Lonchura striata: one gene and its partner. The protein of the gene in region 1 interacts with the protein of each later gene in a biochemical or structural test. Links are inferred from orthologs where the notes say so. Each region holds a gene or a part of one and is shown in the gene's direction. Other genes may lie near its edges.

The links.
Region 2: the proteins of TNRC6B (region 1) and protein argonaute-1 form a complex in vitro, tested with the Homo sapiens proteins (2 studies listed by BioGRID and IntAct). The link is inferred for Lonchura striata from reciprocal best matches to the Homo sapiens genes TNRC6B and AGO1.

Annotation. Positions count from the first base shown.
Region 1 is NC_134607.1:24,505,685-24,515,487, forward strand, and holds the start of TNRC6B (trinucleotide repeat-containing gene 6B protein), read left to right. Parts: upstream 1-5,229; 5' UTR 5,230-5,470; intron 5,471-9,803.
Region 2 is NC_134628.1:4,006,598-4,016,690, forward strand, and holds the start of protein argonaute-1, read left to right. Parts: upstream 1-5,281; 5' UTR 5,282-5,360; coding exon 5,361-5,385; intron 5,386-10,093. Other genes in the region: protein argonaute-4, read left to right, coding at 1-108.

The DNA of each region.
Region 1 (9,803 bases):
AGATACAACTCCCAGAAAATGATAATATAAGAAAGAAAAAATAATCCTGTGGTCTTGCTGTCCTAATAAGAGTTTGCTATAGAAGGACAGGTGGGAGCTTTCCCCAGCATCAGTATTGATCATACCTGTGTGATATTTACCTTTTGCAAGAGCATATATATATCTCCTGTAGCATAGGGAAGGAACTAGCAGGAATGTGCCTAACCCTCTTTTCTCTTCAAGATCTGATTTTTCTGTTGGGATGGAGCTGGGTGACATGGGTACATAAATGATGTTATAATTACTTTCACCTACCTATACTTTAGTTTCCATTTAGATTCAGCTAAAGGGGACTCAAAGTTTTGCACAGGCTGCTACTAATGTTGAGTATCATAGCTCAACCAAGCTGGTGGAATGGGAACATTAAAAGTTAATTAAAATCTTGTCTGAAGAGCTGCACTACTTCTAGCCTTAGCATAACTGCAAGCTGATAACTCCTATACACATGCTCGTTCGCTTTCAGGACTGAAAATAGTGAAAAGAGGCAAAAAGAGACTGTTTTAAAGATTACAATATTTTTCAAAACATTTTCCTAATTGTCTGTTTTTTTCATTAAAAAACCTCCACATGTTAGCATTATTTAGCTGAAAATAGCTGTATTTAAAATAGCTTCAAATAATGTTAACAAAGCATTGTTTTAATTTTGCCTCCAGGAAAAACAAAACAAAGTTGTATCATGAATTATTCTCTATTTAAAATCTCTGCCATCATATTAACAATTTTTCCCCTTTAGCTGTGGGCTGACAAAATTCTTTCTCCCTTTTCCTTCCAACAATATAATGTGAGCATGACAGCAAAACAAATTGAAACTTCTGCTAAGCATTTTGCCCAAGACATGCATAAACTGCTCTTGTTTCTACTGCAGCTGCATGTCTTTCCTGGGTATGACACATGAAAATAGGTAATGTCAAAATAAGCCTACTATATTAAGAACAGTTAGAGATGTGGAGGTGTCTGACTGGGACTTAAAGCTCAGGTCCTGAGCACTTACAGTTATTAAAGATATTTTTACAGTTTTTTGTAAAGCAGGAATGTTAGCACTAATCACATGACTAACATACAAATTTGAAAATTACATCTGACATCTCCCTAATTTCCTTTTGCTATTTAACTTAATTCTAGTATTCATTACTTTCTTTTTACTTAAATTGCTCTTTTGTGTTTCTTCTTTGCTGTTATGGGTGGCTTAGAAATGAAAAATAATTGCGTTGAAATCTGCTCTTCTCTATTTTAAACACAAATTCCTTTTTTCTATCCTGATTTTTACAGCTCCCAGGCATACGAAGTATTACTTCCTCTCTCTTCCTTGTTCCCTAAAAAGTTCCATGAAGGATGCATAAGAATGGCTGAGAAAACTTCTCAGCACTCAATTGAAGGGAATAGGAAATGCTGAATTCTTAGCAGGTATCTCGACTGAAAGTAATTATTAGGCTAAATATTTTTAAAATAAGGATAATAGGTATTTAAACAGGATTATAATATTTGTAAATATTTATGTTTTATTCCCCTCATATATTGATGCCATATGCCTGCTGAAACTTCCCTGAAGTCTTCTCAGAAAAGGATGGATTAAAAAGCAGCTTCCAGGGGAAAGATGTAAGTAAGAAAATAATCAGCCTGTGTTTATATAAAACAAGAGAACATAAATTCTTTTATTACTTTTTCTATGAATCGTCTTTTTAAAAATATTCTTTTGATGATCTTTTTGATCTTCTTTTTCAGTGCTGCCTGCATTTTAGACATAGATGAAGTACAGGATTATATCACATATTAAATGTTATATTTCACATGAAAACACCTAAACACAGGACATCATAAAGAGCATCAGCACACACTTTACTATGGCTTTCCAAAAAATAAATTTTCTTTTAATCACCATGCAGGTAAGTAGTTGGTTGCTTACTGTGTCCACAAGACAGCTGCTGCTTAGGGAAGTCAAAGCAGAAAAAAACGCAGGGTTAGCAAAGACCTTTTCTAAAAATACCAGTAGTTTTTAGTGACTGACTATCCAGAGTTCATTCGGGTACATTGATTTAAAAACCTATCAAGCCTATAAAAAATCATGTCATGGAACTTTTGGAAATAATAAACCAGTGTCAAAAACTCTGATTACTAATTCCAAATATCAGTGCTGTTTCTAAGTTCTTGTCCTCTCTCTTTCTTGCATCCAGAACTGTTCTAAGCTGGCAGCACTCTTTGTTTGTTTAGGTAAGTACCTTCATGTAGGCTTTTTCTAGACTGTCTCCCTGTCAGACGCAGTATTTATAATAAACTTAATTTTAAAAAGAAGAGGTGATATATTTTCATAACCTAAGAGTCAAAAGGCTGTGGGAAGTGATCCCAACTCTGAAGTCTGTCTGTCTCTTTGGCTACAGTCTGTGTGAGGTTTGATACTTGGGATGTCTGCAGGCAGGGTCCCAGCCTGTGTCTGCAGGAGTAAAAGGGAACGCTCATACTGCAGTGAGATCACTCCTCAAAGCTATAATGGTTTTTCTCATCACTTCTCCATCAGAAAGGAAAGACTTTCACCCCAAAGAAATCCAACCTTTCCCAGCACCTGGAAAGGCATCACGGTGGTAGTGTAATACTGACACCGAGTGGATGAAAAAATGTACTGCCACTGTCCAACTTTGTCCCATTTTTGGAGAGGCTCCGCAGTGGGGAGGTATGAAAAAAACAGGAAGAACTATTTTGTTCCTAAGCATCTGGACTTCATGAGAACCAGAACCTGTCTGGGAGCTGTGATTCCTTCCAAATCCACAGGTGAACCTGAGTGGGAACTCCTGAGTCATTCATTATAACTTCACAGAAACCAACAAAATCTGCTTGCTTTCTACTGTTCCAATTTGTTTGTAGTGTGAAACTACAGGGACAATGGAGAGTGGTATCTTTTGCTCCTCCAAAATTAAAGTATCAAGTTCCCTAGGCTTACGCAAAATAAATCATATTCCTTTACATGTTTTTACCAAAACCCTAAGCAAAACATGGGAAGGGACACTCACAAAAGAACACCAATAAAGGGAAAGAGAATTTAAAGAGGGAAATTATTTTATTGGTTTTTTATGTATGGCAAAGACTAGGTCAGCATCTTGGTCAGATCTTTCTCTCCCAAAACATGTACTCTTGGTGTATTAGTGATTTCTGCTTACAACTTGGGGAAAAAAAAATACAGACAGTTCTCAAACATTGAATAAACAATGAGGAAGAGAGGCAAAGTGCATCCAACAGTTATATTATTAATTCATATTGATTTATATAGAGCCTTTTGTATTCCTTACAGCACCACAGTAACAAGTATGCACATAGCCAGTATGAAATCTTAATCATATTAAGGTGGCTCTTTTCCCACCAATCAATGTAAAAAATCAATTACCATTACTGAATGGAGAAGCCATCGAAATATTCATTGTTCTTTACTGACTTGTGTAGCCTGAGTTTGCAGGGATCTTGTCTGCTGTCTCTGCCACCAGCCCACATGGCTTTCCTGTGCTGGCAGCTGTCCCTCCTGCTGGTGACTAACCTGTGAAGGGCTCTGTGGCTCTTCCAAGACAAGAGAACGTTTTCACCAAACACCCACAGACCTGTTTACTAAGGTGACAGGAACATCATATCCCTAGAGTTCTGTGTTCAGCTGCTCTGCTGATCAGGTTGTAACAGGATGCTCTCAAGGAGATCAAATGGAAACATTGCACTGGCTTGCAGCCTCGGCCAAAGTCAGGAAGTGACACTCATCAATGGAATGACAGCCCTCAAATTTACTGGAGATTAAGGAGAATGAGATTGAGCATAGAAATTAGGTACAAGGAGAACCTCTTGCTCCGTTTATCACTCCACAGGCTTCTGTTGTCCATGTGCTCCTCCCAGTGATTTCTCAACGCTCCTCTGGCCCTGCTCTTCCACTCTGCTAATCCTTTGTGCCATGCAGGTCCTGCTTATGTACCTCCCATTGTGTCCTTCCCATTCTGCGATCCAGCAGCGCTGGCCCACACGTGCTCTGCAGCCCAGGGCTGAGGCTGCTCATCCCGGCTTTCACTCCACCTCCCGGGGAAGCGTCCCGGGCCCGCTCCTGCCTCAGCCTCGCACCGACCCCCCCACACACACCCCGCAGTTTCTGACTCTGTCCACCCCACGAATAATGGAGACCAGCGCGTGTTTGTAACGATTACATTTAGTAATGACGCCGTGGTCACCCTAAATGCCTTTTCCACAAGTGCTCCCGGTCGCGGGCCCCCGTCACGTGCGCGGCTGCTCGGGCCACGTGGGATGCGGCAGGCACGCGCCGTCACCCCGCCCACCGTGCTCCTTCCACGGAGATTGGCAGTGGAAGCAACCAATCATAGGCAGGCTCTGCATTCCCCCACCCCCAGCCCACGGTTGCTGTGTCATCCGGCGGGTGACATGGGGGGGTGGTCGTCGGTTGGCTGCGCAGGCGTCGGCTATCGGCCAATGCATGACGCGAGCTGCATGACTGACACCTATCCTGCCCAATAGCTGTCGCGCGGGGGCGGGACGAAGCGGAGATGTCGCTGGGGGCGGCGGGCAGTGTGGCGTTGGTGCCGTGTCGCGGCGCCGCTGAGCAGCTGCAGCCGCAGCCGTACGCGCTATCGCCTGTGGCCGTCACGGCGCCCCGCACATGAGTGCACAAACTGACGAAACCTCGCCTCGGCTGAGGAGGGTTCCAGCGACAGCCGCGGAGCGCGGCTCGGTGGGCGGGTCTTCGAGCCGTTACGGTGTAACGGGCACATTACTTCTCTGCTGGAGTCGGAGCGTGCGAGCCACAACCCAATCCGTAGGGCGGAAGGGCGGGACAAGTAGAAGCGGGCGAGCGAGTGCCCCATTTAAGGGGCAAATCTCGCAGCTAACTGGCAGAGGAAGAAGGGGCGGGAGCCAGTGAGAGATGTGAAGGGGGGCAACGCTAACCACTGACAGCCAGCAAATGCAGCCAATCAGTGAGCGTGTAGTGACGCGAGAACCCAATCAAAAGGGCCCGGGGGCGTTGCTCCTCTGTGATTGATGTGCGTCCTGGCTAATGGACGGAGAGATTCCCGAGACTCTTCCCAATGGGCAGCGTGAAGGGGCGGAAAGGGGAGCGGAAGGAGAAGACGAGCGGGTAGAACGACCAATCAGCGTGGGGGTCGGCGGGGCGCCGTCCAATGGGCGGTGCGAGGGGCGGTTCGGGGGCGTGTCCCGGTGTGTTTGGGTTCGTGCTCCTCGGGGGAGGGAGAGACGGCGGCGAGGAAAGTTTGGTTTTGGTTTTTTTTTTTCCCCCCCCGGTGGTGTTTTTTCGGCGGCGCCGGCGGAGCGGGGGGGGGTACGCTTTTCGCAGCTTCTTCGCCTTTTGCTTCCTGGGGTCCGTGTTTCCCGGGCGGGTGGAGCCGCCCCCGGCACTGAGAAGAACGGGGGCTCAGCGCACCGCGGCGGCGCCTCGGCGGTGAGTACGGGACGGGCGCCCCACCTCTTCCTCATCCCAGCTCCCGCCGTGGGACTCCCTGCGAGCCCTTCCCGCCCTGCGGACCCTCGCGCCGCCGCTGAGGGGCCTCTGGCGCCGGGCCGCGGTGCCGCGGGGCGGGGGAGGGACGGGGGGGCCGGGCCGGCGGGAGGGGCCCCGAGCGGCGGCGGCTCAAGGGCGCTGCCCCGGCGGCGGCGGAGCGGCCGCTGCTCCCGCCCCGAGCCCGCCGAGCGCCTGTCCCGGGGCGCAGCCGGGCGAGCGCTGCCCCCTCCTCGCCTCACGTGCGGCCGCTGTTCGCCGCGGCTGCGCCCCGGTGTCCCCCACCGCCCCCTCCTGCTCCGCACTGGGCCCCGGGGAAGAGCCGCCCTCCCGCCGGATCGCCCAGGCCGGGCAGGACGGAAACACTCCGAGGAGCCCTTGTGTGGATGGGGAATAAAAGTGCTTTAGTGTGGGGACGGAGCTGAGGTTGCGTTGGTACCGCTGCAAACCGCGCTGGATGAGTGGAACGTGATGCTGACTAAAATGTGTGTGTGTCTGTGTGCGTGTATGTGTGATGGTGGGTGGGAAGAGTGACCGTGTTCAGAGGTGTGTCCTTGAGGGGGAAAAAGTTTCCCCAGCTGTTTGTAGCAAAATGAGGGAATGTTTGTTTCTGGAGACACTTCGCTGCCTGTGGATAAGCGCTGCTTGCAGCGTGGTATCTTGAAAGCTCAGATCCGCTTTATGAAAGTGTATGTAGGAGGGATCTACTACAGCATACAGCTGAGGCTTGTTGAATAAACCGAAGACTCCACAAAGTGTTTTCCTAGCTAAAGTAGAGATGCTTACTAATGTAAACAGTACTTGTTTTTCCATGGTAACGTTTCACTAACTTCATGAACATTTATTAAAATACCTCTTTGTAAAGTTAACTTTTTTTTTTTTGTTTTTACAATCCATTAATTACTATTTTTAAATCATGATTTGCTGTAGTTCAGTTTACAACCGCTGCAAAAGGTACGACGTTGTCGCTGACGTCAACAAACGTTGTCACGTTTACAACCTCTACAAAAAATGTGACTTTTTGTGCAAAATAGTGGGTCGTTCTTTGGGGGGTTTACAGCTCTGTATTTGAAAGGTCTGTTTCTAGTGTTTTCTAGTAATATCGCTGTCCATATGAGTGGATTTTGGAAATTAGTTCCTGCTACAAATGTTGTAGAGGTGATAACTTAGGTTTATAGGGTTATTAAATATGTGCACAAGTTCAAGCAGCTGTGTAGTTAGCTTGTCCACAGTGAAATTGCTCAGCAATGCCCTCCTCTCCTGTGGTGACTCTCTAAGGGTGCAGATTCCTTGGAATGCGCGCTGTTGAAATGTGAGTGAATGCTCTCATCTGCTGCATTACCCAAGGCCCCGAGCTAAAAGTTCCAGTTTTTCTTCAGAAACCGTGGATAGTGCACGGTCTGCTGGGTCGATGTATCTCGGGGGAGGGGTTTGCAGGAGTGACTTTTCACCTGAGTTTTGCTGAGTTGCAGATGTAACTAGACAATTCCTCAGCGAAGAAATCGCCCTGCAAAAAGTTGGGGCTGGAGATGGGGGAAGGGAGCCCAGAGAGATGTTAGCTGTGTGTTAGATTTTCACCTGTGGGGTTTTGGGGCAGTAAGACACAGGCACATCTGTCTTGGTAGAGAGTAGGTGAAGTCATCATTAGACATTTATCTTGTTTAGCTATACTGCATTTGTGCTGATGGGCAAAATGTTTTTGGGATACTTACAGGGAATCACGTAAATCCTGTAATATGGAAGTACTGGTAAAAATGTAACGATAAACCAGTCAGTGTCTTCTTGATTAGGTAGACTTTTGAATTAATGCACTATTCCAGTTTCTGTATACCTGCAAATTTAGCTAGAGATCTACACTTTCATTTAAATAATAAGTTCAAACATTTGAACATAGAAGTCTTGAAAAAGCTTAATGTGCCAGAGTTTGTGTGATTGACTAGTCCAATAAAACATTTAGGTTGAGTGTGTGTCATGGCTTTGCTTGGTGATGCTTATTTCATCGTTAAAACTTGATGTTGGAGGAAGCTTTAGGAGAGAATTTTGTGTAGCTCTGAGGTATTGTATTTTACCTTAGATCTGCCTCCTATAATAGCAAGTAAGAAATTAGAAATTCTTTTTTTTGCAGAAGTAATGTATAATAAAAATCATACGTAGGTAGAGATGGCTGCATCCTGAACAGTGGGATGAATAGCTGCAGCCAGAATGATGGAAAGAACTGAAGGACCGCTATAAGATAGTAATTTGAAAATATGTTAAAATGGGGTTTGTTCTCTGGGATTTTTGAGTTATTTTTTAATTTATTTTTTCCCCCTCTGGTAAAGCTGGTGTATTTCTGCTCACAGAAGAGATTGGATTTACAATTAAGCAGTATGAACTGGAGATCATAGAATAAGTCTAAGAAGCTTAGTTATTGACTTGAATGAGTTTATTAATAGTCTGCTTAATGGTTTGGTTACTCTGTTTTCCATTTTCTGCAAAATGCTTGGATGCAGTTTGTTCTAGTCACTTATCACTGTTACTGTGTTTATTTTCTTGGACATCTTTATACATAAATATTGTCTGCTTTGTACGGTAATAACAAGTAATAGTAATTTTCCAGTTTCTTTACAATGGCTTTTGTCAGTCATTGCTCATAGTGCTGCTATTAGATTCAAGAAATCTGCAATACTTCTACTTACAGCGTACCTAGCATCTTACAGCTATTCAGCTCTTTATCATTAGTTCTTATTTTTCATGCAGCCTTAACCTGTGTGTAATTTGGGTCAGTAGATGTATTTTTGTGAAGAACTGGTGCTGTTTATTTTCACAGGATAAATTAAACATGTTTAACACATAGATCAAGAAGGGAAGTACCTGATATTAGCACATATGTACCATTGGTTTTCTTTAAAGCTTAAAGTTTTCTGTTACCTCAGTGCTTATAAAATGTATTAGCTCTGGATTTGCTTTTAATGGTCTGTTTCTTGCATTTTCAGAAATTTTAATCATGAAATGTTTCACTATCTTAGGGAAAGAATAGCAAGGGAATGTCAGTCTTCCGTTCTAATTGCAAGAACCTAGTACAGAGATGTTGAGCAAACAGTAACATACATTTCTAATAGTTTGACCAGTTGTGGTAGAAAAATACATGTATTCTTGCTAACAGTCTTCCTTAGCTTAGCATTTACTGTCTTTCTCCATTTTCAGATAAAACATGTGATAAGGGTGCTTGTTCTTAACAGCAAACAGTGTGGAATGTGGACTGAAGAATTTATGTTAATTTCTTGTGAATCCAAACTTAACTTTTGGCTACTATCTGCTAATAAAAATAGGGGCACTTTTGGGTACTTGGGCCAGCTGTCACTGTCAGACAAGTAGTTGCCTGCTGGTATTTCAGCTTGCGAGGTGACTGGGGTGAGAGTAATCAGGATATTCTGATTGCTGTTCCCTGTCCCTTTCAGCGGATAATAAAACTCTTACATTTTCTTACATTTGTCTTCTGTTCATGACTTCTTTGTGTTGCACTTCTACTCATTATTTTTATTTCTTCAGAGAAGTAAACATGCTTTGCTGCAAGGCGTTGGTGTCACTTATTTTTTTTCCTTTAGAGCAGTAGGCAGTGAGTACGTTAAATTTGTTTTTTCTCTTTGCCTTCTTATAGCGGTTAGAGGGAGAGGGTGTTTTTGCACTTATTATGGTTTGCATCATGTTGTAGGGGAATGTTCTGAGGTTTTTAAGTTTTCATCAGCCTAAGGGTTGTGGTTGGAGTTTGGATGTTCTCTGTGTTTACCATGTAGTGAGCTATGGAGATGACCTTTTCCAGTTTCAGCTAGTCAGTACGGATTGCGTTTCTGGGCCCTGCCAGCTTTAGTAGTTCTGAAATTGGATATCGTGCATGTATTTCCTGATTTAATGTCTGTGGATCAGAAAAAACTCAATAGTTCCTCTGTGAGAAAATCTGGGAAGCAAGTTAATGTTCTATTGAGACACTGTTTAAATTTTTAAAAATATCTACTTAGAAAAGTAAAATGGACCTGAAAGCAGCTCTTAGTCAGTTTAGCTTTTAAGTCTGTGGAGCAACATCCTGCTTGTCAGGAGAAATGGGAGGTATCATAAGGCAGCACTTGTGCTGCATGCTACAGGATACTAGTCACAATAAATGTGTAGAAAATAACCTGGAAGTTGGTATATTTTGACCATGTTAGACAGAAGATGGGAGGCTGGAAAGCTAATTATCAGAAGAAATTATAAGAAGCAAAGTTGCAAAACAAAGAGTTGATAATTTTAGATAGCCTGA
Region 2 (10,093 bases), on another chromosome or scaffold:
GCTGAGGGCAGCCACGTGTCGGGGCAGAGCAACGGCCGCGATCCGCAGGCGCTGGCCAAGGCTGTGCAGATCCACCACGACACCCAGCACACCATGTATTTCGCTTGAGAGCACCTGGGAAGATGAGGCAAAACAACTACCCATGCAGTCCTGAAGTGTTTGGAAATCTCCTGCTCTACCCAGGGCCGGGGGATTTCGGACTGCCCACTACCAGCAGCTCCGGACAGTCGCACTGAATCTGTTCTTCACTGCAACGTCTGATGCACCAACACAATTGAGCCATTTGTTTCATTGTTTTCTGTACTAGAAATCCATAGACTTGTCTTTTCTGATGCATTGGACTGAATTTTTACCTCAAAGCGCAAAGGCCGATCATCCTGAAATTTTTCAAGGAGTTGGCACGAAAGGTTTCTATCAAATCTTTTGCTAGCTGTGGTTTTTTTCAGTTCTCCTCATCCCATGAGCTGACGGTGACTGCTGCTCTGTCTCCGTGCCCTGCTTCGTGAGTATGATGTGATGGCAAAATGTTTTATCCAGCTCGCTGTAATCCTTCTGTCGTGTGGGGCCATAAATTTTTTTATGGAGATTTTAGACTTCACTACTGTAAATGCCTTTTAACAAACATAACTTTCACAGGTATTGCAGTTTTTTGTCAGTTTTACTAATTATCTTTTTAATCTCTGCAGACTTGGGCTGCAAAGCAATTGCACTATACTGCGAGTTAATAGGTGGTTCTTGTTCTGTGAATGTGTAATATAACCAATAGTGATGCCTGTCAGTAGATTTTAATGATAATGGTTATAAATAATACTGCCATGGTATCGTAACAAGTACTGAACCATCATTTCCCCCCTCTAAAAATGATAAAACAAAAAAAAAAAAATTTAGCTTTTAGGTATTTTGCAAACTTTTACAAAAGTGCCCACTTTATGCTGCTGTGTGGTTTGATAAATCTAAGTGATTTTAAAACTTTTTTCTCATAGAAGGTTTAACTTTGGCAATAAATCTTTGTTTTTTAAGCCCCCCAAACAGTGTAATTTTCTAGCTGAGGATTGTGCATGAGTTTAACCAACATTCTCGTGTCGTTTTCTGAACACACAATTTGGCAGTTTCTGAAACAAATTAGAAAAGACACATTTCCATGCTTTTTTTAAGGATTATTTTTAACTGTTTTATATTCACTGTTGGTGTCCTGTCTAGAACATTTTTTATAAGCTTGGAAACTGGGTGTTCCGTGTAGGAAAGGCCAACGTGTGCAGTTGAAATGTATTGTGTGGCAGGCAACCTGAGGACTTGTACCAGCATTTTGAACTGTTTTTTTCCTGGGAATTTGGGTTGCCCACACAACTGCATTTACGGCATGTTGAACCCGTGTGAGTCTCAAATGCTGATTCTGTCCTAGCCTAGAAATTAGGGTTTTTAATCTGCTTGGCTTTTTTCAGCTGCAACCTGTAATCCAGAACAGGGACCTGGTTTCCCTGGTATATTCCTGTAATCCATGAACGTAGTAATTTAAGACTAGATTCCTTATTGTATACCTGAGTTAGTGCAGATTAAAGCTTATTCCTAAACTGAGGAGGAGTTTAAGAAGCCCAAGGATTGCACTGTGGTCTCTGATACTTGTGTGGGGTTTGCTGCTAAGTTGTCTGCTGTCCCAAAGCTTAGGAACCAGCCCCCTCCAAATTTCAGCAATAGGAAATGCTGTTTCCTTCAGTCTTTAAGCTTGTAAATAAATGAAAGTTTACATTTCTAAATGCTGTTGTTTTCAGTTGTACCAGAGTACACTGAACATCTTCAAACAGTTTTATAACCTCCTTACCAGTACTATGTCTCATAAATTAAGTTTAACCTCTTTTCATTTCTGTTAAAAATGGGACTGAAGTGAATCCTGCTCCTGGCATGTGCCAAGACAGGTTTAGATTGAAAAAAACAAAAAGATTCTTTTACATTTTTTAACTTTTTTTTTAAAGAATACCTCACTTGTGTAATAAAATCAGGACATGTGGGTGGGAGACTGACCGCTGCTTTTCTCAGTACTCGTTCAGGGAGAAGACACAAAAACCCTTTTTAGAGTGAACTCTGACTGACCCAACACACACGGAGAACCTTGGCACCTTGAAAAGCACCTGAGCACCTGTTGGAGGTGGTAGGATCCAAGATCCCTGATTTGAGTTTGTGCACTAGGAATGGGGCTGGTTTAACAAGGGTGCATAAAAAATGAACTTTATCACCAATTAGTTGTCCAGTGCCAAGCACTCCTGGTTGAGACTGAGGGAAGGGAGAGCCTCTCCTTGGTTTGCCTGTGACTGGATATTTGACCTCAGACCAGGTGGAGCATCAGCCCCTGGTGAGCCCTGGGCCAGCACCCGAGCGGGGCTGGTGTGAGCCCACCCCGGGCACAGGGCTGGAGTTTTGGGGGGAAAGCACTGAAGTTCAGGATCCAAGTTGCAGCAGTGCTGCCCTAGGTAGGTCTGAGCCCAAGTCTGGATGACTTGAGGACCTGAGTGAGCCCTGTGGGCCTGAGTGACTCGTTCTGCATGTGTCAATCAATGGGAAGATGTGCATTCTGTAGCTGTAGTTTTAGGGTGTTTTGATTTTTGTTTTTTGGGGTTTTTTTTATAAATAAAGCCTGTTGGCCACTGTTTAGCTCTGTGGTGTGAAAGATTTTAAATGTAGCAAAGTTCAAAGAGTTGGGGAAGGGGGTGGTTGATATATATTAAAAAATATTTTAAAAAAGGGTGGGGGGAGGGGGCAGAAATCCTGTTTTCCACCTGGTTCTGCTTGCTTTGTCCCTGCTGAGTTCTGAAGAAGCTCTGGCAATCCCTAGTTAGCCTGTCTCCAGCAGTCTGGCTCTTGTATTGCTGTGAGTTCCCCGGGTGCCCGGAGCTCCATCCGAAGGGCACTGCAGAGGTGGGTGCACGGGCTGTGCCGTGTCCAGCCTCGCTTGGCCCTTCGGATGGGGCAGGGCCCTGGCTCAGAGCTGGCATCTGACAGCCCCGACCCCTTTGTGGATGTGCTGTAGGAGTTTTCTTGCTCAATAGCGAGGGAGTGACTCTGCTTTCATTTTCAGAAGGCAGGGCCAGAGGGCATTGGCTCCATCCCAATCCTGATCCACTGCAAGGCTCTTTCCCTGTGCACTGGAGGAAAGATCTTGCACTAAATATCACTTACAGATTTTCTTAGACCTTGCTATTGACATTTTCATATTTCTATGTCTAGAGGCTGCAACTTCAATGTAAAATGTTTGCATTTGTTCAGTTTGACTTCTGATGTAATTTTTTGGTTTCTATATTGTTAGACTTGTAATGTTTCAAATGGTATTTTATTAACTTTGGACTGGATGTATGTCTCTAGCAATACGAGGTACTTTCTAAACTGTCCTGGGGCTCACAGCCCCGTGTCGAGATAAGATGCTGGTCGTGTACAATTGAATTGTATTTTTTTTTTTTTTAGCCTGCAGGGATATTTTGTGTTCATGTGTCCAAAAATAATAATAATAATAAAAAAAATTGGCATTCTCGTGCCAAATGTTCTGTTTTTCATTATTGCTGTCCAATAAATGCAATGTACAGAGTGAGCAACCAATACTGTTGCCTGTATACAAATGTCTTAAACTATTTAACTTTTAATTAAAACTTGTACAGAATGTGTCACCTGTGGAACTCATTACCACAATATATCTATTTCTGATGCATTAAAAGTTAGCAAGTTAAAGAAATACATATGGGTGACATCTCCCAGAATCCTAAACCTGAAGGGAAGCTGAAATTGCAATCCCCAGGGGCAGGGTTCAGAATGGGCCTGTTTTTATAATGTTTGGGAAATTACAGAGAAAATTTGGTGTTGATGGACTGTACCTGCATGGAGAGAGGGGATTCTATATCAGAGAGATGCAATGAATAAATACAAGAGCTGTTGGCTGCTTCATCTTTATGTGAGGCGAGGGTTTGTCTCCTTAGACAGCTGTGCTGCACTATAAATACTGCAGGAAGGACAGGAAAAGCTTTTGGAGAAGGCCAGAGTGTGGGAGCTGTGGCTGAAACCAGGACAGGATTGTCTGAAATGCCCGGCACCTCCTGCAGCCCCGCTTAGGTGTCAGTTCCGTTTGCAGGGCACATCCTGGGGCTTTGCCACTGCGGTTGCTCAGCCTCATGGAAACCTGAGGAGCTCAAGCCTCGAGGTTTGCTCATCCTAGTGTCTTCCAAACATGATGTAAAGACCTCTTGGACCAAACCTCAGGAACTCAGGGTTGAGCGATGTCTGGGATTCAGTGCCACAGCCTTGCTGTCTGTGCAGCTCCAATTCCAAAATCCCTGCTGGGTCCTGCTCCAGCCACTCCCTCGGGACAGCAGGAGCTGCTCCTCATACTTTGGGAGAACACAAGATGGGAATGCTTTGACAGCCTGAATTCCTGTAGCTTTTCCACGTTTCCTGGAACGGCCCAGCTAGGAACACACACCTGGGCTCATTGTGGGAATGATGCTCCTGGGGTTTATGATGTTGTTGAGGAAGTCAATGCACAGGGTCAGGGATTTGCGCTTCCTGGGAAGGTCAGGTCTGGGACGTGGTGGGAAACAGGATGGAAAGGGGGCCGCTGTGCCCAGTTCTGTGGATTTAGATGGAGCAGGGCCACAGGGAATTCCTGCCCTGCCGCTGCTGGTGCTCAGGGGCCTGTGGCCCTGAGGAGGCAGCTACCTGCAAAAAATCCGAACGGCGAAGGATGTGTCCCAGACCCAAGCTGCCCCCACCTCAAACTACTGCTGGCCTGACAGTCCCAAAGGAACCCTACAAACACATCAGGAACCTGGGCTGGCGAGTTTTCCTTCACAGGGAAAAGTGGCATTAATTGTGCTCAGGGGCCGGTGGCCCTGAGGGGGTGGCCACCTGCAAAAAATCCGAACAGTGAAGGCTGTGTCCCAGACCCAAGCTGCCCCCACCTCAAACTACTGCTGCCCCGACGGGAAGCCTACGAGAAAAAAAAAAAAAAAAAAAAAAAAAAAAAAAAAAAAGAAAACCACGAAATAAATATTTGTGTCAACCGCGCAGCGGGCGGCCCGGGCACCGGCGGGCGGACAGCGCTCGCCGCTCCCCGGCTGCAGCGAGGCCCCGGCCGGGCACCCCTCGCCGTCCCGAGCGGAGCTCCCCGGTCCCCCGGGTCCCCCCGGTCCCGCGGGCCCCAAGATGGCGGCGGGGCCGGCGGGCGCCGCCTTTGTTGCGCGCGGGGCCGGGCGGCGGCGGCGCGTGCGCGCGGCGTGAGGGGCGTGAGGCGGCTGCGGCACCGGCCCCGGCCCTGCCCGGCCCCGGCCCCCGGCACGGCCCTGCCCCGGCCCCCGGCTCGGAGCGGCGCCCGCGTGGATGGGATGGAAGCGGGACCCTCGGGAGCAGGTACCGCCGGCGGGGATGGGGAGGTCGGAGCGCTGCGCGCCGGGGAGCGCCGTGAAGGCGACGGGGGGCGAAAGGGATGAGGCCGGCGGAACGGGGGACGGGTGTGCGGCGGGGGCTAGGGGACCTGTGGGCGCCGGGGCGGGTGAGCGCGGTGGAGGGGTGTGCGGAGGGGACCGCGGCGGGTGGCGATGGATGTGGCGGCGGCGCGGGATGTGCGGGGGCGATGCCGGGGATCGGAGGATGTCTGAGCAGCGGGGTGCGGGGGGGCTGCGGGCCGCCGGGCCGGCGCGTCCCCAGGGTGCCCCGAGAGCAGCAGCGGTGCGGGCGCTGGGCAAGGGGCGATGGAGGGACCCGCAGGAACCTCGCAGGAGGGGGCACAGGGCCGGGGTCACGTCCAGCCGCAGGTCCCCACAGCGCGGAGCGAGCCCTGCTCAAGGGGCCTGCTCTGCACAAAGCAGCAGCAGCAGCATCCCCCCAGCTTTCCAACCTTTCTCCCAGCTCCCATTCCTTTCCCCCTACCTCCCACTCCATCCATCCCCCCGGCTGCCATTCCACTCCCCTCCCTGCCATTCCCTCCCACCCCCCAGCTGCCATTTAATCCCCCAGCTCCCCATCCATCGCCCAGCTCCCCGTTCCCCGAGTTCGGGGAGCGGGGCGCAGGCTGCAGCTGGCGCGGGGCCGGCGATGCCGTGTGCCGTGACAGCACCAAGCGTCTCCTCCGCCCGTGCCAGGGCATGCGCGGAGCCAGGGCTGAGCATGGCCCCGCGGGGCCAGAGCCACCCTGTACCCCCGTGTCCCCTGCCGCAACCTCCACCCCGGTATGGATGGGAGCAGCTGGCAGTGCCCTTCGTGCCGGGCAGCTCGGCGAGGGTTTGGAGGTCTGTTCCCTAGGCCGTAGCATCGGTTGCTGCTCGCTCCTGTGCCTGGCCTGAGCATCGCCAACTTGCGCTGCTGAGTCCCAGAAGGATTTTGGTGCCTAGAATAAGGCAGAGGGAGGGATGGGGTGATGGAGATGCAGGTCACTGCCCTGCTGAGGCACGGGGCGATGGGGATGGAGAGCTACTGCCCTTCCGAGGAGCAAGACGAGGGGATTGGCAGTCACTGCCCTGCCACCTCTCTTGTGCTGGTGGGTTTGCCACCCTCCACAACACATCAGCCTGATGAGATTTTGACATAAACCTGCTGAGTGTTTGTAAACTTCAGTCCTTCGGTGTGATATTTACTTTAAGTGTGGCACAGAAATCTCCCTGTGTCTGCGTTACCTTCTGGCTACTGGGTGCTTTGTGTTTTGGCTGATTTATGGCCTCTGGAAGCAGTGATTTGGCAGCACCACGGGCTTTGCCAGCGCCTTGGGGCGACAGCAGTGCTGCTGCCTCAGGGCCACAAAGATAACGTTGCTGGGCACCCTCCTACCCCAGCCTGAAATGATGCTCTTAAGGTGCGATAAAAGAATCTCTTGTTTTGGGATGGGGATGCACTTGGTAGACAGGTTTGGGTTTCAGTCCGTGGGCCTGTGAGGGCTGCACTGGGAGCAGGGCTCTGCTGCTGCAGCCTTGGGAGTTTCCCCTTCTGTCCCCAAATTTGGCTGGGGGATGCCTGCTCTTCACCCCTTGAACAGGGGACTCATGCACCCCGTGTCATCAGACCTGCTGTGAATCCTGCCCTGCTGTGGCACCCCTGTGCTTGTGCCAGACCCTGAGTATGGGCTGAGCCTCACACGCGAGCTCTGATGATGCTGTGGCAATAAAGCAAAAACTGGCATGTGCCTGGATGTGCCCAACATGGAGATGTCTGGAAAGGGAGAGGAAAAACCTAGGACATGGGACCCACAGGCAGCACTCAGGAAGACACACGCATGCAGTGGTTTTAAAAACTATTGTCCCACAACTTTTAGTTTATCCCTTGCAAATTTCCTAAAGGCTGTTAATCTCAACCGTTGTCTTCCTGTGCTGAATCTTGCAAAAACCCCAAAGCTGCTCCGTCTGTTGGGGCTCTTTATCTTCAGGAAACATGAAATTGCGTATGCCTGGTTCTGGGACAGGATTAAGCCGAGAAACAAAGCCAGGAGAAGCACCTTGCCTGGAGACACAGCATGGATGGTTTATCTCTAAACACTCTTTGCAGCCTCTCCCTAAACCCTGGGAAGAACAAAACACAGGCAAGTTATTAAGATGGCAGACGCGAGGAGGAAGCCAAATTAGGCAGAGAAGCTGCTCCTTCGGCAGGGTGATCCATGCAGAGCCACGGGCGGGTTCAACCTCCGCTCCCAGAGCCGGTGGCACTGCGGGGTCGCGATGGGACATGGAGAGGAGCCGACGTCGCTTTTGTCCTGTCCCTCTGGCACTGGGGACCGCCTTTGTCTGCGACTCTCGGCTCTGCGCATCCCTGGCTGCTGCCTGGGCAGTGCAGGAGCAGCGGGAGACCTCACGGGGCTGGGCAGGAGATGTCAGCCTCCACCCAGCCCAGGCACCATTAGCTGGGACCCCAGGGTCACTGAGCGGAGTCACGCAGCCTGGATGTGCCACCGAGTGTGCTCAGCAGGGGAGCTGGCACTTGCTGTGCCGGTGTTTCTCAAACTCCGTCAGAGGGATGGAAAACAGAGCTGCTGGACAGCTGAGGCCAGCTTGGCAGAACCCTCACATGTCAGCTCATGATTGAGCTGTGTCCACACTGGCAGCATCACCACACCACTGGCATCACCACACTGCTCTCCAGAGCCAGAGCAGCTGGAGTGCAGCACCTGCAGCTTGACACTCTTGCTCAGCTCAACTTGTGGGACTGCATGTCCCAGGATGCACCCATTCAACCAGACAGCTTGCACTTCAGGGTGTCACCCGTAATTTCCAGGTGGGAAGCACAGCAGTGTCCTTAGCAATGTTTAATGTGAGGTTATGAAGAACTCAGCACTTTCAGATGTCAGTCCTGTAGTAAAACAGTTTAGAACCCGTTTTGGCTCATTTTTTGGGTGAAGCCACCCCAGTGCAGGGCAGGACCAGAGCTTGGGCGGCTCAGCCTTCCCTCAGCAGCCAGGCTCTGGTGCATGGACAGTTTAATGCTGGGCTCTGACAGCTGCAGATGGAGCCGCTGTCCCATGTGTGCATCACCTGCTGAAACTCAGTTTGGTGTCAAACCTAAAAGCACTCACAGCTGCGTGACCCTGGCAGTGCTCAGGTCACTCAAGAAGGAACAGGCAGTGGTTTCTGCATTGGCAGAGCTGAGTTGGGGCTTTTTGAAGTCTGGACTATGTGGAATGGTGTTGGTCACTGCTTAGAGCCAGTGGTTTTTAAGGTGTCCAGCCTGGAGATCTGGAACACCAATTGCTCATCCTCCCCAGCAGCTGCCTTTCCCACTGGTGCTGCCCCTTGCTTTGCTCCCCGACGGGGGATTTCATTTCCCGAGGGGATTCTGGGGTGGTTTAGGACGGAGATGTCTCAGGGTGAGGATAGACCACGCTGCCTGTCCGGTGGCATTTGTTGTGCCGCGGCCCCGTCTGCACCTCTCTGATTCCTGGCTGTATTTTGGCGAGTGGGTGTGCGGAGAGGGGGCCGGCACGGACCCGCCGCCGCCGCAATAAAACTCCCTTTTGTCTGGGCCCCGTTCCCGCGGCCCCTCGGCTGAATGCAGCGCTGGAGAGGATTTCAATGACATGGTAATTTCATGCCGTCCCACCGGCGGCTTCGCCCGACGCAGGCAGCTGTTGGGCAGCGGGTCGTGTTCCCCAGCTGTTACAATAAATAACAGAAACAAAGCGTATTCCAGCGCTAATTACCTCAAACTTGCTCTCACTTCGGTGGCTCTGCCCTCTCCGCCGTCTCTGCCCGCGGTACCCGGCGGAAGGGCGTCGATGCTCCGCCGCCGGCGCGTCCCCAGGACATGGCTTTGTGTGCGAAAGTCTGTGATTCCTCCCGGGCCGCGGAATTTCTAATGGCAGCGGATTTCATCCCGCTCACTGGCCGCATTGTGCTGCAGGAACAACACTCGCCCTGCAGCCCCTGGCCCCGGCGCCCGCATTTACATGACAAAGTGGGAGCTTGTGCAGCTTCGCCATGGAGAGTCGAGGTATGCAGGAGCTACACTGTGTGCTGGAGCCCCCCTGTTTCCATGCACTCTGGGTAGCTTTTTAACGAGGCTTCTTCTTGTTGGCTCCTTTTCTGGTGCCTGAGCCAGCTTCAGGCATGAGGTGCCTGGGGATGACAGTCGAGATGTCCGGGATCCCCTGGCAGCATCCTCTGAGCCAGGAGAAGGGTGGCTTTCACTGAGGCAAATCACCGAGAGACCCTGAGTGCTTCAGGGCAGGAAAGTAGAATGTGAAAGAATGAGCCAAGCCTGCATGTTGAGCAGAGGGTTTTGGGGTCTCTCCCACCTGGGCTGAAGCAGCCAAGCTTGGATGAGAGCCTGGCCCACATGCTGGACGTGCTGCCTGGGCAGCTGCTTTGGCTTGTCACATTCAGGGACTATTGTGGTCACCAAAATAAAACTCTGTGAGTCAGACCAGGGTGAACTTACCCATCCTCAATGCTGGTCATGGTCCTGCCCTGGTCTTTGCAGAGCATCTCCTGTGCCATCAGGTGCTGCTCTCTGGCCACTCTGCCCATTTTTCTTACCCTGAGTTTGCTGTATCTTCTGTGTCCAATCAAAATTCTGAGCCAACTTTTGTGTTGCTGGAGGGTGTCTCCTTCCTTCAGCTATGATTCATGAGCCTAATTGT